Linked DNA regions of Ovis aries. The protein of the gene in region 1 purifies or fractionates together with the protein of each later gene. This does not show direct contact. Links are inferred from orthologs where the notes say so. Each region holds a gene or a part of one and is shown on either strand. Other genes may lie near its edges. The genes, in order: DVL2, NEDD4L, DACT1, VANGL1, CSNK1D, VANGL2 and PELI2.

Region 1 (2,689 bases):
GACCAAGGCCATGGCCGCTCCAGAATCGGGACTGGAAGTTCGGGACCGCATGTGGCTCAAGATCACCATCCCTAACGCCTTCCTGGGTGTGGCTGGGCTCTGGGCAAGTGGTGGGGGAGGAAGAGGAGGGGGCCAAAACTGGGAAAGGGGGTGAAAGCTAGAGAGAAGAACTTGAGGCCTTTCTCTGTCTTCCGCAATCCAGGCTCGGATGTGGTGGACTGGCTGTACCATCACGTGGAGGGCTTTCCTGAGCGGCGTGAGGCCCGGAAGTACGCCAGTGGGCTCCTCAAGGCGGGCCTCATCCGGCACACTGTGAACAAGATCACCTTCTCTGAGCAGTGCTATTACGTGTTTGGAGACCTCAGTGGTGGCTGTGAGAGCTGTGAGTGCCCCTGTCCTGGCCCAGCTAGAGTGGCCCTGGTGGCCTTGTCCTGCGTCTCCAGCTCGAGGCCTAGCCCAGAAACCCAACCGGGGCTGCTGTGCACGCTGAGCAGCAAGCGTCCTTCACTGGCCCCTGAACTGGCTGATGATGGGCGTGGGGTTGACATACACCTCTGTTGTGCTGGATGAGCTGTGCGCAGGTTCAGGGTTGTGTCTGCTGGGGAGGGGAGACGTGGGACTAAGGGTGGCTCTGGCCACGTTCCTGCCCTGACGGCTGTGGCGGGTGGGACATTCCTTATCAGAGGCCCTCCCATTAACCCCTGCCACAGATGGTTGTGGGGAAGCCGTTCCCGGTTCCTCATTCGATGTCTTGGCATCCTGGCTTCTCAGCGCAATGATCCTTGATCTCTTCTCTGCCTTCCAGACCTAGTCAACCTGTCTCTTAATGACAACGATGGCTCCAGTGGCGCTTCAGACCAGGATACTTTGGCTCCTCTGCCTGGAGCCACCCCCTGGCCCCTACTGCCCACTTTCTCATACCAGTACCCAGCCCCACACCCATACAGTCCTCAGCCCCCACCCTACCATGAGCTCTCGTCCTACACCTACGGTGGAGGCAGTGCCAGCAGCCAGCACAGTGAGGGTAAGTTGCCGACAAATCCCCACATAGCTGGGTCTGGATGTGGGGGCCAAGGCAAAGCCAAGGAGCAGAGGCTGGAGCAGGGACTGGGGAGGCCGAAGAACCTGGTCTGTGGCTCAGTTGCTCCTATCCCCTTTCCCCACAGGGAGCCGGAGCAGTGGGTCGACACGAAGTGATGGGGGGGCGGGGCGCACGGGGAGGCCTGAGGATCGGGCCCCTGAGTCCAAGTCCGGCAGTGGCAGTGAGTCTGAGCCTTCCAGCCGGGGTGGCAGCCTTCGGCGGGGTGGGGAAGCTGGTGGGACTGGTGACGGGGGCCCTCCCCCATCCAGGGGCTCATCAGGGGGTGCTCCTAATCTCCGAGCCCACCCAGGGCTGCATCCCTATGGCCCACCTCCTGGTATGGCCCTCCCTTATAACCCCATGATGGTGGTCATGATGCCGCCACCCCCACCCCCTGTCCCTCCAGCAGTGCAGCCTCCAGGGGCCCCTCCAGTCCGAGACCTGGGCTCTGTGCCCCCAGAGTTGACCGCCAGCCGCCAAAGCTTCCACATGGCCATGGGCAATCCCAGTGAGTTCTTTGTGGATGTCATGTAGAGCCCATGGTGGGGCCACGTTGGATCGGCTGTCAGTGTTTGGTGCTCCTGTCCTGTGATTGGATGTCTTGTCAATCATGTGCTCATCACTCCTCTGGTGCTTGGACTCAGCCTGTCATGTGGGCTGCTGTCTGCTGTGAGGTTGTTGCCACTGTGACTTTCCAGCAGTGCCTGGTTCCTCCCCTTTTCTTTGGGGTTCAACAAGGGACCTTGGTTATTTTTAGCTTTATTGTTTTTTATAAGCCTTTTGGGGGGTTAAAATAGATTTTCTTACATTTTGGGGACTATTTTTTTAGTAGATAATTTTTCTTTTATATGAAGAATCCTTGTCTCCTGGGCCCCCTCCTTCTAACCCCTAAATGTGACCTCCTTATCCATTCGCCCAGTCAGCTCTGTCCTGAGCAGGGTGGGAGGGTAGTCATTGGTACCCTGGGACGTGGAAGGGGGTTGGTTCCCCTAGACAGCCGTCAAAGGAAGCTGGGGTAGTTGGTATTGGGGGCCGTGTAGCTGCTTTTGTTACTCTATTTATTTTAGTCACCTGTATAAACACTAAATAAAGCAATAGGGGCAAACTCCCTGCGCCTCTGGCTCCTTTCTTTGGGAGGGAGGCAGGCAGCAAGGGAAAGGACAGAGATACAGTTGCAGAGTGTGACTTGTTGGAAACTTTATTCGTGAGGCAGTAAGTGCTCCCTCTGAGAGCAGGCACAGTCATGGGCTGGGGCCCCGTTCAAGGTAGAACCAGGATGGGCAGGAAAGGGGTCTGGGCTTTGGCTTGAGAAAAGGCACATTTTGGGCCAGGCTGTAATTGAGAGTACTCAGAAACCAAGGGGATTGCTGGTGACCACGCCGCCCCGCTCCACCAGGGCCTTGGAGATGCTTTTGAAGTTACGGAAGAGCTCCTGCTGCTGGGGGTCAGACTGCAGAGCAGCCATGTTCTCTCGGATCCGGGCCGCAGCCTGGGGAGGGAGGGGGAAGGAGGGGGTTCAGACCTGTCCCTTGATCCCCTCCAGCCCCCTGTACTTAGTAACTCTGGATCTCACCTCGATACACCAGCTGTCACAGAGCATTTTCTCAT
Region 2 (3,500 bases), on another chromosome or scaffold:
AACCAGTCCATCCTAAAGGAAATCAGTCCTGGGTTTTCTTTGGAAGGAATGATACTAAAGCTGAAACTCCAGTACTTTGGCCACCTCATGCAAAGAGTTGACTCATTGGAAAAGACCCTGATGCTTGGAGGGATTTGGGGCAGGAGGAGAAGGGGACGACAGAGGATGAGATGGCTGGATGACATCACCGACTCGATGGACATGAGTTTGAGTGAACTCTGGGAGTTGATGATGGACAGGGAGGCCTGGCGTGCTGTGATTCATGGGGTCGCAAAGAGTCAGACATGACTGAGTGAACTGAACTGATAATATCTCTAAGTGATTTCTTGAACATCCGTATTGTTTTCAGGGATGAAAGCCTCATTCAGTACTGAATAATCTTAATCATTTCTAGAACTTCCCATATGGTGTGTAGACATTATGTAAATTTCAATGATTATATGAAGAGTGACAATTTTAAGGTTCATGATTCATGAAATTTTCTGAATGTTGGCTTCATGTACATAAAATTTCAACTGTATTGTTCATATTGTCTATATTTATACATTTATCTTCCAGGCTGTTCCTTACTCCAGAGAATTTAAGCAGAAATATGACTACTTTAGAAAGAAATTAAAGAAACCTGTGAGTACATGTCTTCCAAAAATGTTGCCTTAGTCATTTGTAAGTTACCAAAATTACTTCAGTGAGAACTTGTTTCTTACTTTTATATCTGTACCAAAAATGCTACTTTCCTTTTTTCACTGCACTTTAATCCACCTGGATCTCTGATGTGAATTTTCTTTTTAACAGAAATGGTAAGTGAATATTAACTTAGTATTATTGGGTTGGCCAAAAAGTTCCTTTGGGTGTTTCTGTATCATCTTTCAGAAAAATATTTTGGCCAACTCAAAACATATTAAGTCACCTGAAGGTAATTTCTTATGTAATACATAAAAAGATAGAAATGATTTTATGAGATATATAATAATTCAGGACCAAGTGAAAAAATTTGGAGAAGCCTGTGCAGTTGCTTACGGTTACCCTAATTAATAAAACCTTGGTCCTAATTATAAAAACGTTCAAGTCTGTCCCTTTAAATTCCAATATGTACAACATAAATATAATTTATAATATTCTGGCATATTAAGACCAAATGTCATTTTCAGAGTAAAAATTCTCACTGGGAAACCCATTAAGATTCTGGCAAAACCAAGATATCTTGTAAGGCTTTTTGCAGGCAGTGTTTTAAATTACAGTATTATATTTTCTACCGACACATCTGCCCAGATCCTTTAACGCTGCGTCTTCTGTCTCACTTTGGTCTCGCCTGTCTGGTGAGGGTTTTCCCAGTCTTCTCCTCAGTTTGTGCCTTCACCCTTTCTGGGGTGTTTTCGCACAGGTCACTGTTGACTGGCTTCCGCTCACTGGGAAAAGGCGTGTGTCTCCCACAGCTCAGATCTCCCCGTCTGCCTGTGCTTCCTGCCCGCCTCCCCCAGCCCACTCCACTCTCTCAGTTATGCCTTCTCCCCACCTCTGTTGTGGGTGAGACACTGGGGATGCAGAGATGCCTGGAAGCCAGCCTCCGCCTCGGGGAGCTCCCACTAAGGGTTTTGTTCTCTTGTCCATCACCCCGAATCAAGGAGCTCCTGGGTAACTCCATTTCAGGATGACTGAGATTTGAACCTGTGAACTCCCGTGTTTCTTTGTGAGTCGCCTGCGTTTCTTCTGAGTATAAGTGATGACTCTGAGGGTCCCACCCGTCTCACTCTGTAGCACTTATACTCTACGGTGCCTTCTGCCTGGAAACTGACTCTGCAAATCCATCGTCATAACAGAGCCGACCCTGGGCCTGTTTCGCCAGGAAGCAGTTATTCACAACTTCAGTCAAGTGCCTTTTAATTTTCACATTTATCGTTAAACAGCTGTGGCCTTTGGCCTGATCATCAGAGTCTGCCCACCCCCGCCCTGGCAATAGGATTAGCTTCTGAGTGTCATGGACCCACGCCTGCAGCCGGAGCCCCGCCAGGGCTCAGAGGTGTCCCAGCCTGGCTGGGTGGGGACTGTCTATGGGGTTAATCGTCTGGACTGAAGTCCCTTTCTTTGACTGAAACAATATAGAGAGCTGACCGTGTTTCACTTGTCAGCGGGTGGATAAGGGCCCCTCGGTTGCTCATAAAAGCAGGCCAGGATGATTTGTCTCTACTCAGCGTAGTTTCTTCCGCAGCACGTGTTGCTGACTCAGTGGATGACAGCTGCTCGTGGGTGCTGTGTGTCTCCTCCTGACGTAGCAAGGCTTTCTGTCTGTGAAGAAAAATCTAGAAAGGGCAGAGCCCCAGCTGGAGCCATTCCACACTGATTGTTTATTCGAAGGCTGCCATCATTCTGCTCTTTGTTGTTTTCTGTTAGGAAGTCAGGTGTATATTTACTCTCTGACCGTGTGTCGTTTTTTTTTGTTTTTTGTTTTTTCTTTAGGCGGATATTCCAAATAGGTTTGAAATGAAACTTCACAGAAATAACATATTTGAAGAATCCTATAGGAGAATCATGTCTGTGAAAAGACCAGATGTCCTGAAAGCTAGGCTGTGGATTGAGTTTGAATCAGAGAAAGGTCTGGACTACGGGGGCGTGGCCAGAGAGTGGTTCTTCCTACTGTCCAAGGAGATGTTCAACCCTTACTACGGCCTCTTCGAGTACTCGGCGACGTAAGTATCTGGAGTGCATTCAGAATGTGTCCCCCACTGAGACAGGTTTATTCCTCATGAGCAAATGAGAGAGGTGAGATGATGAGAGAGTGGGCTTCCCTGGTAGCTCAGCTGGTAAAGGATCCGCCTGCAGTGCAGGAGAACCTGGTTTGATTCCTGGGTCAGGAAAATCCCCTGGAGATGGAATAGGCTACCCACTCCAGTATTTTGGGGTTTCCCTGGTGGCTCAGACAGTAAAGAATCTGCCTGCAATGCGGGAGACCTGGGTTCAGTCCCTGGGTTGGGAAGATCCCTTGCAGGAGGGCATGGCAACCCACTCCAGTATTCTTGCCTGGAGAATCCTCATGAACAGAGGAGCGTGGTGGGCTACCGTTCATGGGGTTGTGAAGAGTCAGATATAACTGAGCAACAAAGCACAATGAGAGTAAGCCGCTCGCTCGTTTGAGGTGAATTAACACTGCTGACCTCAGCCCCTCCCATCCTCCTCCCTGGACATCTAGAACAGAATCTGACTCCACACGGTGAAATAAAGTACACTGTGAACACCTAAAAATAATTCTTCCCTTGTCTGTTGGGTTCATGTAACTGAAATTGAAAATGTGTTGGGTACTTATCGTTAAGGAAAAGCACTTTGCATTTGTTATGTTAATTCAGGGGAATTTGTCACTGTCAGAATTCAGAAGGTCATTGTCTCATGAACAGGAATAGTTTCTGACATTATACTACTTAAAGGGAAATTGAGGCTCCGTCCTTTAGGATCCAGAGGACTGTCCTGAGCCTGAGCGGCGAGGCCCTGCCTTCCCCTTGCATTAGGTT
Region 3 (3,500 bases), on another chromosome or scaffold:
GGCCTTGGGGTAGTGAGGAAGAATGAGCACAGATATTAGCTAGAGAGATTTCCCCTTCTTACAACAAACTGTTTATTGGGAGTGGAAGTGGAATTGGGGACATGACACATTTATTTTATAATAAAATTTTGTTTACAAATTGAGTATCATTTCTGGGTCTAGACTGACCTGCCACCGAGACTGCTAATAATCATTGAAATTCACAGGGCTTTCCTTTAAACAATTAACATAGAATTTAGCACATAGTAGGTTTTCAGTATATGAGTGAATAAAGATAATTATAATGGAAAGCAAATTAAATAGGGACAAAAACTTTGATCTTCTGTAACTAAAATTCACTCAGAGGATTTGATATTTATAATATATACCAGGATAAGAGATCAGAATAATCTAATTAAGCAAGGAAGCTTGATTTCATTGTATTTTGGCATCTATGTTTTTGAGATGTGGAAATTTTATTCATTAGTACTACTCCTCAATCTTAAAGCCTCATCAAAAATTCCTTTATAAAATATTGTGCTTTATTTTTTAGTATCACTATTAAAAACATAAGGTGATTATTATTTAAATTTAATCTTGATTGAAATTAGTTTCCCTGACCTTTTAATTGACAGTTATATTCAAACACATGTCATTAAGAATTAGGTCTAAAAAAATATTCAAAATGAGGAGAAAGCCCATGAAAGTATAGTTTATCTCAAGTACTTAAAGGGAAACCAGGAACAGAACACAGAAGGGAAAGTGGCCCAGAGAAAGAATGGCTCAAAAAACGTTTATTTTTCCAGTTATAAAGGCAGTACATATTTGAAAGTGAAGTTGCTCAGTCATGTCTGACTCCTTGTGACCCCATGGACTGTAGCCTACCAGGCTCCTCAGACCATGGAATTTTCCAGGCAAGAGTACTGGAGTGGGTTGCCATTTCCTTCTCCAGCATACTTTTATTGAAAAGTTAGAAAATAGAAAAAGAAGAAAGTACCATTACTTTTCCTACCACTTTGAGATGCTACTATTAGCATCTTTGCATGCTTCATTTCAGACTTTTTTCTTTGACTATATCCAGTCTTAGTAAAATTATAAAATTATGATTTTCACTCCACTTTAAAGTGTTTCCCATATATTATTCAATAGTTTGAAAGCATTTTTAATGCCTGAATATTTTTCATTCAGTTATATCTTGTTAAAAAGTCCTTTGTTGATTTTTTTTTCCTCGTCTAGTAGTATGAACTGTATGTGAAATAGTAGAGTAGCTTGTCTTGTATTTGTTGATTCTTTGTTATTCTCTCACTACCCCTGAATTTGTCTTCATAGAAACTGGCCTGATCAAGCTGGTGCTGACCAGTTCATTTCTTCAGAGTGTACCTTTAAATGTTTTTCAGATCTCATAGGATAGCTAGAATATAAAGAAGGCCATTGTGAAGACCAGGCCTCAAGGTCAGTTGACTGTTCCCTCTCCACACCACAATCTAATTTCCTTGCTGTCATTGCAGATGTGAATCCCAAGTACCAGTGCGATCTGGTGTCTAAAAATGGGAATGATGTGTATCGCTACCCGAGTCCACTTCATGCCGTGGCTGTGCAGAGCCCAATGTTCCTCCTTTGCCTGACTGGCAACCCCCTGAGGGAAGAGGAGCGGCTTGGTAACCATGCCAGCGACGTTTGTGCGGGATCTGAGCTGGACACCGTCAAGACAGACACTAACTTACCATCTCCAAGCAGTTTGTGGTCTGCTCCCCATCCTTCATCCAGCAAGAAGATGGATGGTTACATTCTGAGCCTAGTCCAGAAAAAAACCCACCCAGTAAGGACCAACAAACCGAGGACCAGTGTGAACGCTGACCCCACGAAGGGGCTTCTGAGGAATGGGAGTGTTTGTGTCAGAGTGACTGGGGGTGTCTCACAGGGCAACAGTGGGAACCTTAAGAATTCGAAACAGGTGCCTTTGCCCTCCGGAGGCATCCCTTCTTTGGACAATGGGGCCTTCTCCCCACCAAAACAGTGGTCAAAAGAATCAAAGCCAGAACCTCTGGAAAGCAAGAGGTTGCCCGCGCCTGAAGGCTGTTCTCCAGGCACTGCTACCGAACTTCAAGGTAAGCATCTGCCCAAAACCGCCAAGCCTGTCTCCCAGGAACATGCGAGGTGTCCCCCCGCTGGGACAGGGGAGTCCTCTAAGGAGAGCGGGCAGATCCCAGCTGCCTCTCCGAAAGAGAGCCCTGGGAGGGTCCTCGCACCGCTGCAAGAGAACAAAGTGGTCCAGCCACTGAAAAAGGTGCCACAGAAACACAGCCCGCAGGCAGGCACTCTGGCGCCCCCTCCCGCCGCCTCAGCCCTGCTGCCCCCAACTTTCCCGGCGGAAGAGCGGCCGGCCCTGGATTTCAGAAGCGAGGGCTCCTCTTCTCAGAGCCTGGAGGAAGGGCCCCTGGGGAAGGCGCCGGCCGTCCTGGCGCCGCCTCCGGGGGTCAGGCCGCCCCGGGGTGCGCGCCCCGCAGCCGCCCCGAGGGGCTCCGCTGTGAAGCACCGGGCGCCGGCTGTCCACGGGCCGGAAAGTGCTCTGCCCGCCGTGAGGGAGAAGGCCCGGGCGGCCAGCAAGAAGTGTCGGTTCCCCGACGACACGGATACAAATAAGAAACTGCGGCGAGCCCCGGCCAAGGCGCGGCGGGGCGGGGGCGGCCAGCCGGACGCGGGGCTCCCCAGCCGGCCGCTGGGGGCGGGCCACCGCGCAGGGAGCCGGGCGCACGGCCACGGCCACGGCCGGGAGGCGGTGGTGGCCAAGCCCAAGCACAAGCGCACCGACCCGCGGCGGTGGAGGTCGGCCGCCGAGGTGTCGTACGAGGAGGCGCTGCGGCGCGCGCGGCGGGGCCGGCGGGAGCCCGCGGGGCTGTTCGCGGCCGGGCCTTACGCCAGCCCCTACGCGTACGCGGCCAGCGACTCCGAGTACTCGGCCGAGTGCGAGTCCCTGTTCCACTCCACCGTGCTGGACACCAGCGAGGACGAGCGCAGCAACTACACCACCAACTGCTTCGGCGACAGCGAGTCCAGCGTGAGCGAGGGCGACTTCGTGGGCGACAGCACGAGCACCAGCGACTCGGAGGAGAGCGGGGGCTTGATTTGGTCCCAGTTCGTGCAGACGCTCCCCCTGCAGCCGGTCCCGGCCCCCGACCTTCGCCACAACCCCACCAAAACCTTCGTCAAGATTAAGGCCTCACACAACCTCAAGAAGAAGATCCTCCGCTTTCGGTCTGGCTCTTTGAAACTGATGACGACCGTCTGAGGCACATCCTCCGTGTAGAGTGGGGCTTTCTAGCTCCCCACCAGTCGGTGGTGTCTTCCTTTTTCGTGTGTAATAATTTCCCGGAGTGCTTTCCTTTGGTTAAGAGAAAACCGAGGTGAATTTTTGTCTCATCTTCGTCATGTATGGACACTAGTGCCTTTAATGGAAGGTAAAGAATGTTCTTTTTGCTGGTTAGAAGTGAATATTGCGTTTCTAATGGTGGTGACAGTGA
Region 4 (3,500 bases), on another chromosome or scaffold:
TGCTGTTTCTCACCCCAAGGCATTAAAACCGTCCTTCCTCCACTGTCCTTTCCCCCAAAGGCCCCAGTAACAACGCCACTGGTCAGTCCCGGGCCATGATCGCCGCAGCTGCTCGGCGCAGGGACTCAAGTCACAACGAGTTGTATTATGAGGAGGCAGAACACGAGCGGCGGGTGAAGAAGCGGAGAGCAAGGTACGCTGCCCAGCCCCCACACCAACACCCCGACCAGGCTTTCTTTTTGAATGTACACCGACTCTTTTTTTAAAATTTATTTTACTGAAATGTAGTTGATTTGCAATGTCATGTTAATTTCTACTGTATAGCAAAGTGATTGTTATACATACATATACATTCTTTTTCGTGTTTTTCCTGTTATGGTTTATCACGAGATTTTGAATATAGCTTCCTGTGCCAGTCAATGGGACCTTGTTGTTTATACATCCTACATATAATGTGCATGCGTGTTAAGACGCTCCAGTCGTGTCTGACTCTGCGACCCTATGGACTTTTGCCCGCCAGGCTCCTCTGTCCATGGGATTCTCCAGGCCAGAATACTGGAGCGGGCTGCCATCCCCTCTTCCAGGGCATCTTCCCAAACCAAGGGATCAAACTGGGTCTCCTGCCTTGAGGCGGATTCTTTATCTTCTGAACCAACAGGGAAGTCCTCCTATATAATAGTTTGCATCTAATCTCAAACTCCCCATCTGTCCCTCATCTACCTCCCTCCTTCCCTCCCTTTTCGCAATCAAAAGTCTGTTCTCTTAAGACATTTTTTTTTTTAACCAGAATGAAATTTCAGTTTATAAACACAACCCCCTAGCATGCAAAAGCATCACCAGGAGGACTTGTTAAAACACAGGTCTCAGGTTCCGGCCCCACCCGCAAAGGTTACTTACTTTCCAGTAGGTCTAGAGTGGGGCCCACCCAAGAATTTACGTTTCTTAAAAATTCCCAACTGATGATGAAGCTGCTGGCCTTCAGCCCACACTTTGACTGGCCCGCCCTCTATCCCCAGGCCCTTGCTGGTTTTCCAGAGCTGATCACTTTAGCTGAAGTGGACAAAGATGGTTTTCATCATACATGCTGCCTTCCTTCTTTGTTCCCTGGGGCTGCTGGTGTGGGCGGCCGGATGGAGAGGATGCAGCTCTGGTTCTCCATAAAGCTGCCTCTGTACCATGAGCCACCCCTCAGTGCATGCAGAGTCTTTTGTAGCCACAGTTTGAAGAGCCTTAAAACTCTTTGCATGTCACCCTTCGTTGTAGTGAGTCTCCCAAGCAAATAAGTGGCAGAATTGAGATTAGGAGTCATCTCCGCAGTCCCATCCTTCTTCCTCCTCACCCGGGAGCCCCCATTCCGTGTATTACTTTTGCCTTTGTCTTCCTTTGCCCTTCCCTCACCTCCCTATTGTCTGGGGTGACACCTGAGGATGGGAGCCTTGGGCCAGCTGGCGGCCAACTAGGAGTCCTCCTCCCACGTCCTGTGTGACTCTGTTCTCAAGCCCTGCACTGCTGTCCTGAGTACCATGTTTCATCACCCCCAGGCTGGTGGTCGCAGTGGAGGAGGCCTTCATCCACATCCAGCGTCTCCAGGCTGAGGAGCAGCAGAAAGCCCCCGGGGAGGTGATGGACCCCAGGGAGGCTGCCCAAGCCATCTTCCCGTCCATGGCCCGGGCTCTGCAGAAGTACCTGCGCACCACTCGGCAGCAGAACTACCACAGCATGGAGAGCATTCTGCAGCACCTGGCCTTCTGCATCACCCACAGCATGACCCCGAAGGTGCGTCTTGGCGCCGAGCTTGCAAGTCCCATTTTAGGGTGTTGTCAGGAACGATAAAGGTTTCTCTAAAGCTCCCACTGATAAGGATTAATGTTTCTTGCTTATTTTATGTTATTTTGGTGCAGTTGTTTTTTTTTTCCCCCTTTTAAAAAAATTTATTAATTTTTTAGTTGAAGGATAATTGCTTTACAGAATTGTGTTGGTTTCTGCCAAACATCAGCATGAATCAGTCGTAGGTATACATATGTCCCCTCCCTATTAAACCTCCCTCCCCATCCCACCCCTCTAGGTAGTTACAGAGTCCCTGTTTGAGTTCCCTGAGTCATAGAGCAAATTCCCATTGGCTGTCTATTTTACATCTGGTAATGTATGTTTTCATGTCTCCATACATCCCACCCTCCTTCCCGGGTACAGTTGTTTTTTTAATGTGCCTTTGAATTAAAGGCTTCAGGATTCAAGCAGAGGAAAGACTTTCACTTAAAGACAGCCCAGGTAGTAATTCAGGGTACTCTGTATATCCTGGGCCTGAGCTGATTTGTTCTAACCTGGCACCTCCATCAACTAGTGGGGAACCTTGGGCCAAGAGCTTAATGGCTCTGTGCCTCAGTTTCCTAGTCTGTAAGTTGGAGATAATACTAATGTCTACCTCATGGGGTTGTTGTGAGAACTAAAAGAGTTCATTCCTGTGTAGTGCTTAAAACAGCATCTGTCATAATATAAGGACCAAATAAATAGCCATTATCATCAGGGGTGGAAACCATGCTCTGACTTGTTTGGCGTTTTGGCTGTTGGGAGGTTAGTTTTACTAAGTGATCTTCTGGGCCATTATGACATGAGCACGCTTTAGGGGATGATGCAAAAACAGCCTCGTGTCTAATAGACGGCTGTGGCCAAGGAGGCAGAATAAAGTGTTCAGCCAGTGACCTCTTCAGACGGAAGTGGATTCAGATCCTGACTCCACCACCTAATCGGTTTGTGACTTTGCCTAAGTTACTCTACACTTGTTCCCTCTTTTATAAAATGGAGATAATAATAGTATCTACCTGATCGGATCATTGCATGAGAATCATATTAAATATGGCAACACGACATGTGAGTTGTGGTAGAGAGTAAATGAGCTTGGCATATGGTTTGCATGTAACACTGGTAGTGATATTATTGGTATAAAGGCCTGTATTCATACGTTGCCCTGTACGTATAAACTGCTGGCTGCACTGTCACCCTTATCAAACCCTAGGAAACCAATATGGAGATATTCAGTAAGACGCCATAACATTTTCCATATTCTTTGGTTCACTAATCCCCCTCCTAGAAAAAGGACTTAGCACAGTCAGCGATACACACTAATGTATATGTGGATTATTTTGCAAGATAATCTTTATTAGCTCCAAACTGGAAATAACTTAACAACAGAACAGTGGCTTACACGTTATGGTATATCTTAAAATGTGGAAGAATCTGTTAGAATATTAAGTTACAAAAAGCAGACTGCAAAAATGTGTGAACACGGTGGTTGCAAGTGAATACAGCATGTCTGCCTATGCAGAGGGATGGCTCATACCACGTGGAATGGAAGTGGTTATTTCCCTTTTCCCCCAAGCTTTTTAAGTTTACTGGCTGCTTTCTTTCTCACTTAAAAAAAAAGTATATATACTTTTCCAAATTAAAACTAATAATCTTTATATAAAAATCCAAACGTTAAAGAGAAGTATAATGTACGAAGT
Region 5 (3,500 bases), about 23 Mb from region 1:
GCGCGTGGGATTAGTTGCTGCTTGGCAGGTGGAACCTTCCTGGAGCAGGGATAGAACCTGTGTCCCCTGCATCGGCAGGCAGGTTCTTAACCACTGTGCCACCAAGGAAGTCCCATAAACAGTCATACTTTTTAAATTTAAAAAATTTTTAAGGTACTTCTGTTGTTAGTTCCAGTGCTCTTCATTCCTTCTGTAGCCCCACACTTCCATGTGGCATCGTTTGCCTCCTGCCTGAAGGACATCCTGTTAACATGTCACAGTGCTGGTGATTGATTCATCACCCTTTGTATATCTGAAAATATCTTCCTTTTGTCTCTGCTGAGGTTTTTTTCGGCAGATTGTCAGTTCTTTTCTCAGTTCTTGGAAGATGTTCCTCCACTCTGCTTTTTTCTCTGGCTGCCTTCAAGGTGTTCTGTTTGTCACTAGTGAGCAGTTTGTCACGTATGTCAGTGTTGTGCTCTTTATGGTTCTTGTGCTCGGGGCCTGTTGGGCTTCTGTGTTCATGATAGGCCACAAGCTTTTGTCACATTATGCCTTATAACCTATGGACTTTGTTAAGTTTGTTCTCATGTCATGTGTAAAATGTATTTTTAAAATATTTATTTGTAAAAGAGAAAAGTTGCCCTGTTGATATCAAAATCAAAAGTATTTAGCATCTTACAGTGCCAGAAAAGAATGCAGTGCTCAAAACAGCCTGCAGTGGTGGGGTATTAAAGGGCCCCAGGAGCTGCTCGCTGAGAAGCAGGCAAGGCTGGGATGCTTGGAGCAACAGAGTAAGTGATCCAGTGTTGGAGTACAGACCAGAATGTAACACAGACACTCGTGGGCTCATACTGATGGGAAAAAATAGCAAGTAAGTAGATGAGAAGAGACACATCTGTGTGGAAGCATTCCAAGTCGTACATATAAATGCTCTGCCCTCTGGGAAGGGAGCCCAAAAGCCCTCATAAGTGAGGGCCACGTGTGATGACATCTCCGCAGGGAGGATGGCATGGGCAGGGGAGGAAAGAGGAACTCCCCAGTGGAGACATATGACAGACGCACCTCAGCCAGGTGACCAGGGGTACAGCCATGGTGAGGAGTCATGTCGACAGCACAGCCCTGGCGGGACGTGATGAGAAGGGCACTTCCCCTCTGTGGTCTTCCTCCCCAAACCCACAAGCCCAGACTAACAACGAGAAAAACAGGCAGGCCAGCAGAGGGACAGCCCGTGCATCACTGCCCAGCCCTCCTCCAAACCATTGGGGTCGTTCAGACCAGGAAAGTCTGAGAGACCCTCCTGGCCAAGAGCAGCTGAAGGAGACATGACGACTACTCGTCATGTGAGGTTGGGACAGGTCCTAGAGCGGCCGGAGGGCATGAGGTTAAACCTGAGGAAGCCTGAGTAGTATACACTTCAGTTAATGACAGTGTATCGGCATTGGGTCATTAGCTGTGACAGCTTTACCATACTGGTGCAGGATGTCAGTCGTAGGGAGACTGGGACCCGGTTGTGGGAGCCAGTGAGGCTCTTCCTCCTGAGCCCCTCACTCCACCCCCACTGTGAAATTGGCCTTCCAGCCTCTCCCCACGTCACTGCTCACTGCTCCTGCCCAGCCGCCCCCCATCAGCATCACAGGCACGGGCATCCTCAGTGCAGATGCACGGGAGGCGGACTGACGCAGACTTTCTTGCAGTGGGCATCCCCACCATCCGGTGGTGCGGGGCTGAGGGGGACTACAACGTCATGGTGATGGAACTGTTGGGACCCAGCCTGGAAGACCTCTTCAACTTTTGCTCTAGGAAGTTCAGTCTCAAAACCGTCCTACTCCTTGCTGACCAAATGGTAAGACTTCATTTTTCTCCACTGAAGGGCAGCCCACGTGCTCAGCACAGGGCTGGATTGATTGATCAGTCTGATGAGGCCTTCAGGGTTGTTTGCTTCCTTTTTGTGCCATGCGTGCATACGGAGAAAACAGAAGCTTGTTAACTGTGCAAGAGATAGTGACCCATGGAGGCCAGGGCATGTTTGCAAGTGGGCCAGGGTTCCCCTTGGTTCCTTCTGCCAGGCTGCAGCCTGGGGTTCAACCTGTCACCCCTGCTTCTCCACCTGCAGATTAGTCGTATTGAATACATACACTCGAAGAACTTCATTCACCGAGATGTGAAGCCGGACAACTTCCTCATGGGGCTGGGTAAGAAGGGCAACCTGGTCTATATCATTGACTTCGGGCTGGCTAAGAAGTACCGGGACGCCCGCACCCACCAGCACATCCCCTACCGTGAGAACAAGAACCTCACTGGGACGGCGCGGTACGCCTCCATCAACACACACCTTGGCATCGGTGAGCCCTCCCGCCCTGGCTGTCCTGCAGCCTCTTGGGGCCCCTGAGGGTTGGTTGTGGCACATTGGGTATGGAGGCTGGCACCAAACCTTCGTAGCAAAGGCTGGCATCTGGGCCTGCAGACCTTGTGAGGCGTGAGGGACAGCATGTGCTGGGGCTTCCTAATGGGTGGCAGTGCATCTCCTAACGGCACAGCAGGGTTGCTTCTGCAGAAGCAAAGACTCCACGTGTCCTTCTCTGAGGCTCTGAGTTTATCCCCAGGCAGCATCTGTGGGGTGTTGCTGTGCATGCTCAGGCACACCACCCTGACCTGCTCTCCTCTCTATCCAGAACAATCTCGAAGGGATGACCTGGAGTCTCTGGGCTACGTGCTCATGTACTTCAACCTGGGCTCACTGCCCTGGCAGGGCCTGAAGGCTGCTACCAAGAGGCAGAAGTATGAGAGGATCAGTGAAAAGAAGATGTCCACTCCCATCGAGGTGTTGTGCAAAGGCTACCCTTGTGAGTGTCTGGTGGACAGTCAGCCAGTTGTAGTTCTGTGGGAGGGCAGGGGCCTGTGAGGTCTGGAAGAAGGACTAGGGAAGCCCCCCAGAGGCTGGCTGTCCAAAGCCCCCTCAGCGCCCTGCATAGTTAGGGAGCTGAAGACTGGGCAGGTGGCCTCCCCTCCGAGTGGCCACAGCCTCTGTCCCTGGTGCTCCTCTGCCTTCCTGAGCCATAACTCAGGGAGTTTTCCTTTTGTTTTTGTGAGACTTCTCCTGGGATAAGTGTCTCCGATGAAGCTGTTATGCTCTGTGGTGCTCAGTTTTCTCATCCTCTTTCCCCAAAGCATGCCTGATGTTTCAGGCTCCAGCATTCGCAGCCTCTCTCTGTGGCCGTGAGTGGTCAGAGGTTCTGTGGACAGACACCATTCTGGCTCTCAGGCAGGAATACTGCTGGTTACCTCTGAATCTTCTGGTGTTTACAGCTGAATTCGCCACGTACCTAAATTTCTGCCGTTCCTTGCGTTTTGACGATAAGCCTGACTACTCATACCTGAGACAGCTCTTCAGGAACTTGTTCCATCGCCAGGGTTTCTCCTATGACTACGTGTTCGACTGGAACATGCTCAAATTTGTAAGTGTGCCCCCAGCTCACTGACCACTCAGCATGGAAGGGGCTTGCCTGTCAGCAAAAGGC
Region 6 (3,979 bases), on another chromosome or scaffold:
GTCTTGAAGAAGCAGAAGGAGCCAAGGGGGCATACCAGAGAGGTCAGCCCCCAAAAGAATTAGAGGGAGAGAGGAAGGAGCAAGACAGTGGGGGCGAAGGGGCCAACTTGACCACTAGTTCCAATCTGAAGTACTTTCAAAGGCGGCCTTTCCTAAGGTCTGACCACAAGTCCTCCTCCTTGGAAGAGCTCCTCACCCCCCAAACACACCAGTATAATATATCATGCATTCAGTCAGAGGACAGACACAAACAAGGTACCCCAGAGCACACCATCCTAGATTCAAGTGCCTCACTCACCCCTGGGAACCTTACCCAACGGATAGGTGTCAGGTTTGGGGCAACCACGCATTTTTTTAATCCAGTCTTTTCCTTCTCTGCCCCACTTCTAGTCCCAACATTTTCCAACTCTTACTGCTCTTACCACTTAAGAAAGGTGGGGAGCCCTGGGGGCTAAAATGCAAGCATTCCAATTGCACATGGCCCTCAAGGACTCCCATTAGGGAATTACCCAGAGACCCTGACAGGCCTGTGCCTTCACAGTCGCAGCTTCTAAAGCTGGATGCCTCGACCAGTTCCTCTGGCAGCAAGAGGAAAATGACTGAGAGTGAGATGTGCAAACAAGATGCATGCCCGCCCTTCCCCTTCATCCCAAAAGAGAAATAATAACAGAGAGAAAACAGCCCTCAATGGGCGCTTGCCTCGACATAGGGACAGCCACCCTCCTGCCAAGTTGAGCCCCCTATCCATCACCCTCAGACCTGGCCCCAGATCGCATCTCCACCCCAATCATGCTTCTCACCAGGAAAAAGGGGGAAACTGTGAGATAAATCTGTACAAACTCCTGAGAAAACATCCCCCTCTGCTCTCCCCAGAGCTCCCATGCCACCTTCTGAACCCCGTGCAACAGAGAACCAAAGATGTCCGGACCAGGTCTCATCCCTCCGGACATGCTTCTTCCCCCGCCTCTATCCCATACCAGAATCCCCAGACTCCTCAGGAACTGTAGGATCCCAGAGGCAGGGCAGTGAGTGGGCTCTGAAGCAGCAAACTCCAAGGCGGCTTTACAAGACAAGTGGGGCCTGAGGGGGCTGAACATAGGCTGAGAAGCCAAGAATGTGGCCTCTCCAAGTACAAGAACCCAATCTATAAGGTGGAATAAGAGGATATCCCTCTGATTCTTTTCCCTGACTTCTCCAATCCCCCAGACTCCCCTTGGACTACAACCCAAATCCTTATTCCATATTCCCCACCACGCACACAACCTTTATCTAGAAAAGCCCATTTCCCAAAACAGGTACCTCAGGGGTCTCAAATACTTAAGGCACTACCCTCAAAACCGGGGCAGGGCATCCAAGAAGCCTCAGAACCCCTCTTGGCAGGTACAGCCCTCCCTTTGGGCTCCCTGCCAAGAAAATCCGCCTGCAGAGGCAAGTGGCAGTACCCCCAACACACACTCAGAAATACACACACCGCCTAAGGCAGGCACACGGTGGCACTTATCTATCAACACAGGTTGTACACAAGAGAACACAGATTCACTCACATCTCTTTCTAGTACACAGGTGTACACACACCTACCCAGGTACACCCTATTCTGCTCTTACACACCCACTTTCCTCAGAACCTTTCCCATAAACCCCTCCCCAGTTCACACACAGAGACACACACCCCTTCCCCAGAATATACCCATAAATACATATCCAAACACACCACACATGGATGATCAGCTGCTCCTTGCGTGCACACACACTCGGGCACAGAAAAACACCTTCATCTCCAAATCTAGGGGCCCACCTGCAGGGACACGCAGCATGTCAAGGCGCACACATACACAAAAACAAAAGAATCACGCACACTGATGCTTCACCAAGCCTCTAAAACTCACCAATGCAGAGCCCACAGCCCCTTAGACGAGTAGAGACAAGTGGAGAGAAGGATGCCGGCGCCTGTCCTCTGGGCCCCTGGATACAGTGCCGGGGTCTCCAGCCTCCAGTCCCATCCTCCAGCCGCACACACGCCTCCTCCACTCCCCTCGGGCGGCTGCCGGGACTCCACCTCACGCCCTGAACGCATACCTGCCCGGGGTCCTCCCCACACTCCTGAGGTGTGTATGCACCCCTAAACATCCTCGCCTTCCAGTACCTCCAGACTGCGATCCTTTCACTGCCTCTGCCTCCACCTCCAACACACACACTCCCGAGTCTCCAGCTCCAACCGGCTCCCCTGGGAACGCTGAGGCCCCCGCCCCGGCCCCGGGCCCAGGAAAGTCCCCGGCTCTCCAGGCCCGGGCTCCGCCCCCTCCCCAAGCGCCCCTTCCTCTCCCCAAAGTTGGGGGGCACTCCGCTGTGCAGTGGGGGGATGGACCGGAAGGGGGCTACCCCACGCCCCCTTTCCCCATAAGCCACCCCGCTCGCTCCGGGGCTGGGCACCCCTGGCCCCTTGCATGATTGTCCCTCTTTCTGTTTCTTTTTTTTTTTTTTTTTTCAAACTTTGCTCGCGCCCCCGCGGCCCGGCACTCACCCGCCGCTGCGAACTGCCGGGTGGGCTCGGCCGGCGCCCGGCTCGGCCCGGCGCCTTTGTATCCGCAGCGTTCGGGTCGCTCCGAACTCCGCGCTCGTAGATGGGCAGCGCGGACGCTGGGGGGTGTAGAGGGGGGCTCCTGAGTCCGGTCGCCCCCTTTCCGTCCCAGACCGCTGTCTCTTCCCCCTCAGGGCCCCGGGGGCAGGGGGCCAGAGGGGAGTGGGGGCGCTCAAGCTCCCATGGCGGGACCAAGGATCAAGGAATCAGGGATCAGGAATCAGATCGGGAGCCCGCGGAGGAGGGGGAGGGGGCCGAGGGGGAGGGGACGGGAGCCGAGGGGGTGCAGGGGGCGGGGGAGCGCGCGCTCCCGGGTGCCGCCTCCCGGCTGTTCCCGCAGCCGCCGGCCCGCCCGCCGCCGCGTCCATTGTCTGCGGCCCCGCTCTTCCCCGAGTCGCCGCCTCCCCCCCAGCCCTTCGCATCCAGATGCCCGGCGGCCCCCCAGGATCCTGGGAATCGGCAGCGGGGCTGTGACCCCGGCCCGGGACGGTGGTCTGGGAGATGCCTCGATTCCTGGGCTGGGCCCAGCCCGCAGCCCCTCCTGGGGCTGTTTCCCTCTACCCGCCTGCGGGAGACCGAGCCCCCAGACCCTCGGGGATGGCGATGTTCAATTCTTAGGGCCACAGACCCGGCTACACGAAATCCAGTGGAATCTGGGACGTGGAAAGATTGAGTTTTACCCCCCGAGGGCTGCGAGAAGAGAAAGTCATCCTTGATTTTAATTACTGGCGAGAAACGCTCCCTTCTTGCCATTCATACGGGAGTTTTTCTGACAGTCACCACCATATCCCCCCCGCTTCCCAAAATAATTTAATTACTTGGTGTTCTAGCTGCGAGCGGCGACCGCCCAGTCAGTCTGGGATGCTCTCTCATTAACACTTTTTTCCTCCCCTCTGGTTTGAGCGTTGGGATTAATTACAAAGGGAACCCTGCCCTGGGGGAGTGGGGGAGGGGGGGACGACGAGGGCGCCCGGGAGTTTGGATGGCGGGGGAGAGAGGCCCCTCTCCCAGGAAACCTCCAAGTGTAAAAATGCGTTGGCCTGTCGGGTCCCTAACCCCAAACAGGCAAGGCTCTCGTCCCCAGGGGTTTCACATATTCTGGAATTCATAGCACTACACAAGGCTTGTAGGGTATCACCAGTATCCGACATAATCAGGCATTCCTGCCTTAGCGTACACCAAGAAACCAGTTAGGTTCATGAAGTTGGGTCATAAAAGCTTTGAACCCAAAGAGATTGACCCCCATTATGAAAGTCTGGGTTTGTGAGAAGTCTATGTAGCCCTTGGAGTGAGTGAAAGCAAAAATATTATTACAATATCATTAGTATTGTGTGCAATTCTCCACTTACTTAGAATAGTAATACTTCAAAAGCACCTTTGCACACTTCTCCTCCAGCAGGG
Region 7 (4,082 bases), on another chromosome or scaffold:
CCTGCAGATCATGTCACTGTAGCAATAACCTATCAGAGAATGTTAGACAAAGGCTACTGAACAGCACAATGAAAGGTTATCGCAATTGTGATGAAATTTTTTTTCCCTAGTCCTTTACTTAGGGTGATAGCCAACCAGCCAGTGTTTATACATAGGGTTTGCAATATGTATTTAAATATTTAACAATCTTGAGAGGCAGTGACTGACAATAACATGCAGTGCCCAGTATGAGTGCTTAATAAGTGGTAAAACAAAATACTGCATGATGAGAAACAGCAGTCAGTAAATCTATTATACTCTAAAATATTTCAAAGCCTAGTAACTATTTAGAAACGCATAAAAAAGCAAACATAATGTGTTGGCTAAATTAGGATAATAAAGGAAACTTTATATTCACTAAAAAGTTTACTCAGATAATTTTCTTTTAAATTGCTTAGGGGATTGAGAGAAGGTATGGGAAAGGGGAGAGCGTATGGATTAAAATCACACACACAACTTTTTTTTGAACCACGTGGAAGTCTGCTGACGACAGACCGGGATGTTACATCCTGCACAATGGAGGGGTGCTCCAAGCGCCTTCAAAACTCCCTCTAATTCAGTGCCAACTGGCAAAGCCCTCCAAATTTCTAGACTTCTTCAAGCTTTAAAGGACTGGGTTTCGGAAGAGGAGGCTCCTGGTGCGCGTGTGGAACACCTCCGAAAGTGTGCCGCGACACGGTGACACCGGGAAAGCTAATGCTCCCATATCCGGAGAGCAGGTTCTTTATTTACAGCTAGTTAACCCGAGGAAACTAAGTTAGGCTTGGGAACCTAAACCGCCGTGCTTCCGGGGACCCTGCGCAGCCTTCCGCCGCTGGAGAACTCGGCGACCAGGGCTGAGGTGCCCGCGCCGTTAAGTTTGGGGAAGGAAGCGAGAGAGGAAAAAAAAATAGAGCTGCTCCTTTAAGAACTTCCTTTCCCTTTTACTCTATGTTTACATAACACGGGGGCGAGCCGCCGCTGGGCCCGAGGGGGGCGGGGAGTGGACCCGGGCCGCCCCACGCGCCGGGGGAGGGGGCGCCGGGTGGGCGGAGGGCTGCGGGCGTCTCGCGGAGGGCGGGGCGGCTCCCACCTGCCCGCGCGCGGGCGGGGCGCCTCTGCGGCCGGCCCCCGCCCCTCCCCCGCCCGCTGCCCCCGCCCCTCCCGGGCTCGCTCGCTCCCTCCTTTCCTCCCTCCCGCGGGGCTTCGGCGGCGGCGGCGGCTGCGGCGCTTCGCGCGGTGGGTCTCCCTGCTGCCCAGTCCCATTTGTTGCCGAGTCCAGCTCGGGGCAGCCGCGGCGCGCGGAGCTCTTAGAGAGCCCGGCAGGGCAGCCACGCAGCCACGACGGAGCAGCCGCGGGACTGGCCGCCCCGCGCCCCCTTCGCCGCCGTGCCCTTCCCCGGCGCACTCACTCCCTTCTCGGGATGGGATTGTAGCGGCGGCGCGGACTCGGCGGGGATCGCGGCGGAGGCGGCGGCGGCGGCGGCGGCCGAGCAGGGCTCCATGTTTTCCCCCAGCCAGGAGGAGCACTGCGCCCCCAATAAGGAGCCCGTGAAATACGGGGAGCTGGTGGTACTGGGGTGAGTCCGGGGATCCCCGACCAGGGGAGCTTGGGGGCGGGCAGCAAGCGCTCCGGGTTGGGTGGCCGCCGCGCACCCACATCCCGGAGCAGGGCCATCGGGGTGGTTTGGGGGTTCTCTGGCCATCGGTAGGGCGCTTGGGCCGGTAGAGCGTCTCGGAGGGCTGGGACCGCGGGAGTGGGGGTGGGATGCCCCGATCCGCGCGCGCGGGTCGCTGCGGGCACAGGGATGCGCTATCCGCGCCGAGGACGGTGGCGAGGGAAGTGGCGGAGCGCGGTCAGCCCGGGGCGAAGGCAGCGGCGGGGACTGGGGCGACCTCGGAGCCCCGCGGGGCGTAGCGTTCGGGGGCTAAGTCCTTGGCATTACCGCGGGGGCAGAGGCTCGACTTCCCCGCGTGCCCCTGGCCGGGTGTCGGGGATAGGGACCAGGGTTGAAGCACAGCCGTCGTGGGCACCTCGCGGTGTCCGAGGACTACCCCTCCACCTTGGCGAAACTGAGAGGCCCCCAGGGTCCCTCTGCTCCCTCTTATTGTGAGCCCCGGGCCCGGAACTCCAGGCGCGGCACCGGCGGCTCTGCGCTGCGGGCAGTGGGATCCGAGCGAGGGGCGTCCGCGGGCAGCGCCTTGCATATTGTTATGGTGACCGCCGCAGCAGCCGCAGCCCCAGGGCAGTGAACTGTCTGCGACCCGGGCGGCCGGGCCGGCCCTCGGCTCTCTCCGCCGGGAGTGTCGTGGAGCCGGCAGGAAAGCCGCTGCACCCGCCCGGGCTCCGGGGCGCGCGGGGCTGCATCCTCTCTGTCCCTCGGTCCTGGGATTTGGCCTCGCAGATGTCCTCCCAGCGGCGGGGAGCTCGCCATCCTCGCTTGCCTCTGCTCCCTCTCGGCTTGTGAAAACCACATTCTGAAGATAGTAATTATCTACAATCTTTAAACGGCAGCAATTAGAGACTTCATCTACTTCCTGAGTTTCCTTGTGACATTTCTATTGTTTACCCTTAATAAGCCTGGAGAGAGGCTTCGCTGGGATTAAAGCAGGATAAAGTGGGCAGTGAAAGGGGAGCGGAATGGGGTGGGGAAGTGCGGTAAATTCGGGAAAAGGAGCAACTTGGGTTTAGCCTTGAAGGAGAAAAGAGAAAGGATTATTTTTCCCTTTGGATCTGTCACTCTCGGAAACCCGCGCTTTTGTCCTCCTCTCTTGAAAGACTTGTGTTCTGAACATTAGGGGTGCTGAAAGGTAGGCTTAGTACACGTGTGAAGAGTCATGGGTATGGAAGAACTCAGGGCACTCTGAAAAATGTGTTTTGATAACTGAATACCTTGAAGTAAGTGCCGGCTTAAAGATAATTTTAAAGCGAGGAATTTTTAAGAGAAGCTTCCAGACACAGCCCAGCTCAAAGTTGTCCAGTTTGGCGTACTTTGTAGCTACAGTGTTAGGTGGAGTATCATTGGAAAGCTCATTTACCTATTTGGAAGCTGTTTCAGATAAGCATTTTTCTCACCTGCATCTAATTGAACGTAAAAGACAAACATCAAGATTCAGTGGAAGGAGAGAGGACTGGCAGGCAAAAAGCTAGAGTTTAGCTTGTATTATGTAACCTCAGCCCAGCCTAATTTTGTGCAGTTTGGTTTTGTTTGTGTGGCTGGCTTCAAAGTATGTTTAACATTGTGAACCTGACACGAAAGATTAACTTAGGCCAGGACTTTATTTCATTATTTCCTTTTGAGGAAATAGTCGTTGAGATGTTTCATGAAAGCAGGGTGTGAGTGGGTCTGGAGAGGGTTTGTGTTCATAGCTGGAAGTGCAGGACATTCCAAAGCCCCGAAAAGGATTTTTACCCTGAATTGTCCTCCAATCAGGCTTATACTAAAGCAGGCTATGTAAATACTTTGCCAGTTGCATGTGCTCTGTTATTTACAGATGTTTTCCCAGGAGACACTTAGTATGATGGAATTAAGTGTTAGTTGCTCAGTCGTGCCGGACTCTTTGCAACCCCATGGACTGCAGCCCACCAGGCTCCTGTGTCCATGAGATTTTCCAGGCAAGGATACTGGAGTGGGTTGCCATTTCCTTCTCCAGGCGATCTTCCCAACCTAGGGATCAAACCTGGGTCTCCTGCACTGCAGGCAGATTCTTTAGAAACTGAGCTATAAGGGAAGTCCATGATGGAATTAGCACTTATATTAATATTTTAGGCCACTCAGCAGTTTGTGGGCACCTACTATGTGCCAGCACTGTTTAGGCATGGAAGATCCAGAAGTGCACAGGGAGCTATTTCATTGTAGTGTGGAGTGGCAGATATAAACAGAAGGAAACATGTAAACAAGTGAATAATAAATGGCAGTTTTGGGCACTGCCAAATTTTCAACAGAAATGGGTTAGCTTAGGAGACGTTTGCAATAGGCAGGTCTTGCCTTCTGTAGCTGGGAAGGCAGGGAAGGTTTCTCTGAGGAGGTGAAAGGTGAGTTGAGACCAGGCTCTGAGAAGAT

Evidence for each region.
Region 2: the proteins of DVL2 (region 1) and NEDD4L purify together in Homo sapiens (affinity purification with mass spectrometry; 4 studies listed by BioGRID and IntAct, with this or other methods). This does not show direct contact. The link is inferred for Ovis aries from reciprocal best matches to the Homo sapiens genes DVL2 and NEDD4L.
Region 3: the proteins of DVL2 (region 1) and DACT1 purify together in Homo sapiens (affinity purification with western blotting; 3 studies listed by BioGRID and IntAct, with this or other methods). This does not show direct contact. The link is inferred for Ovis aries from reciprocal best matches to the Homo sapiens genes DVL2 and DACT1.
Region 4: the proteins of DVL2 (region 1) and VANGL1 purify together in Homo sapiens (affinity purification with mass spectrometry; 4 studies listed by BioGRID and IntAct, with this or other methods). This does not show direct contact. The link is inferred for Ovis aries from reciprocal best matches to the Homo sapiens genes DVL2 and VANGL1.
Region 5: the proteins of DVL2 (region 1) and CSNK1D purify together in Homo sapiens (affinity purification with mass spectrometry; 3 studies listed by BioGRID and IntAct, with this or other methods). This does not show direct contact. The link is inferred for Ovis aries from reciprocal best matches to the Homo sapiens genes DVL2 and CSNK1D.
Region 6: the proteins of DVL2 (region 1) and VANGL2 purify together in Homo sapiens (affinity purification with mass spectrometry; 4 studies listed by BioGRID and IntAct, with this or other methods). This does not show direct contact. The link is inferred for Ovis aries from reciprocal best matches to the Homo sapiens genes DVL2 and VANGL2.
Region 7: the proteins of DVL2 (region 1) and PELI2 purify together in Homo sapiens (affinity purification with western blotting; 3 studies listed by BioGRID, with this or other methods). This does not show direct contact. The link is inferred for Ovis aries from reciprocal best matches to the Homo sapiens genes DVL2 and PELI2.

What each region holds. Positions count from the first base shown.
Region 1 is NC_056064.1:26,830,177-26,832,865, reverse strand, and holds the end of DVL2 (segment polarity protein dishevelled homolog DVL-2), read left to right. Parts: coding exon 1-86; intron 87-202; coding exon 203-382; intron 383-805; coding exon 806-1,024; intron 1,025-1,166; coding exon 1,167-1,615; 3' UTR 1,616-2,189; downstream 2,190-2,689. Other genes in the region: ACADVL (very long-chain specific acyl-CoA dehydrogenase, mitochondrial), read right to left, coding at 2,430-2,570, 2,655-2,689.
Region 2 is NC_056076.1:57,840,640-57,844,139, forward strand, and holds part of NEDD4L (E3 ubiquitin-protein ligase NEDD4-like), read left to right. Parts: intron 1-558; coding exon 559-624; intron 625-2,454; coding exon 2,455-2,684; intron 2,685-3,500. UniProt on the Homo sapiens protein: E3 ubiquitin-protein ligase that mediates the polyubiquitination of lysine and cysteine residues on target proteins and is thereby implicated in the regulation of various signaling pathways including autophagy, innate immunity or DNA repair.
Region 3 is NC_056060.1:68,967,577-68,971,076, forward strand, and holds part of DACT1 (dapper homolog 1), read left to right. Parts: intron 1-1,487; coding exon 1,488-3,268; 3' UTR 3,269-3,500.
Region 4 is NC_056054.1:93,017,166-93,020,665, forward strand, and holds part of VANGL1 (vang-like protein 1), read left to right. Parts: intron 1-60; coding exon 61-193; intron 194-1,541; coding exon 1,542-1,776; intron 1,777-3,500.
Region 5 is NC_056064.1:50,122,909-50,126,408, forward strand, and holds part of CSNK1D (casein kinase I), read left to right. Parts: intron 1-1,676; coding exon 1,677-1,825; intron 1,826-2,095; coding exon 2,096-2,324; intron 2,325-2,654; coding exon 2,655-2,825; intron 2,826-3,288; coding exon 3,289-3,437; intron 3,438-3,500. UniProt on the Homo sapiens protein: Essential serine/threonine-protein kinase that regulates diverse cellular growth and survival processes including Wnt signaling, DNA repair and circadian rhythms. It can phosphorylate a large number of proteins.
Region 6 is NC_056054.1:111,416,964-111,420,942, reverse strand, and holds the start of VANGL2 (vang-like protein 2), read right to left. Parts: upstream 2,801-3,979; 5' UTR 2,522-2,800; intron 2,236-2,521; exon of another isoform or gene 1,887-2,235; intron 1-1,886. UniProt on the Homo sapiens protein: Involved in the control of early morphogenesis and patterning of both axial midline structures and the development of neural plate. Plays a role in the regulation of planar cell polarity, particularly in the orientation of stereociliary bundles in the cochlea.
Region 7 is NC_056060.1:66,604,630-66,608,711, forward strand, and holds the start of PELI2 (E3 ubiquitin-protein ligase pellino homolog 2), read left to right. Parts: upstream 1-1,282; 5' UTR 1,283-1,521; coding exon 1,522-1,598; intron 1,599-4,082. UniProt on the Homo sapiens protein: E3 ubiquitin ligase catalyzing the covalent attachment of ubiquitin moieties onto substrate proteins. Involved in the TLR and IL-1 signaling pathways via interaction with the complex containing IRAK kinases and TRAF6.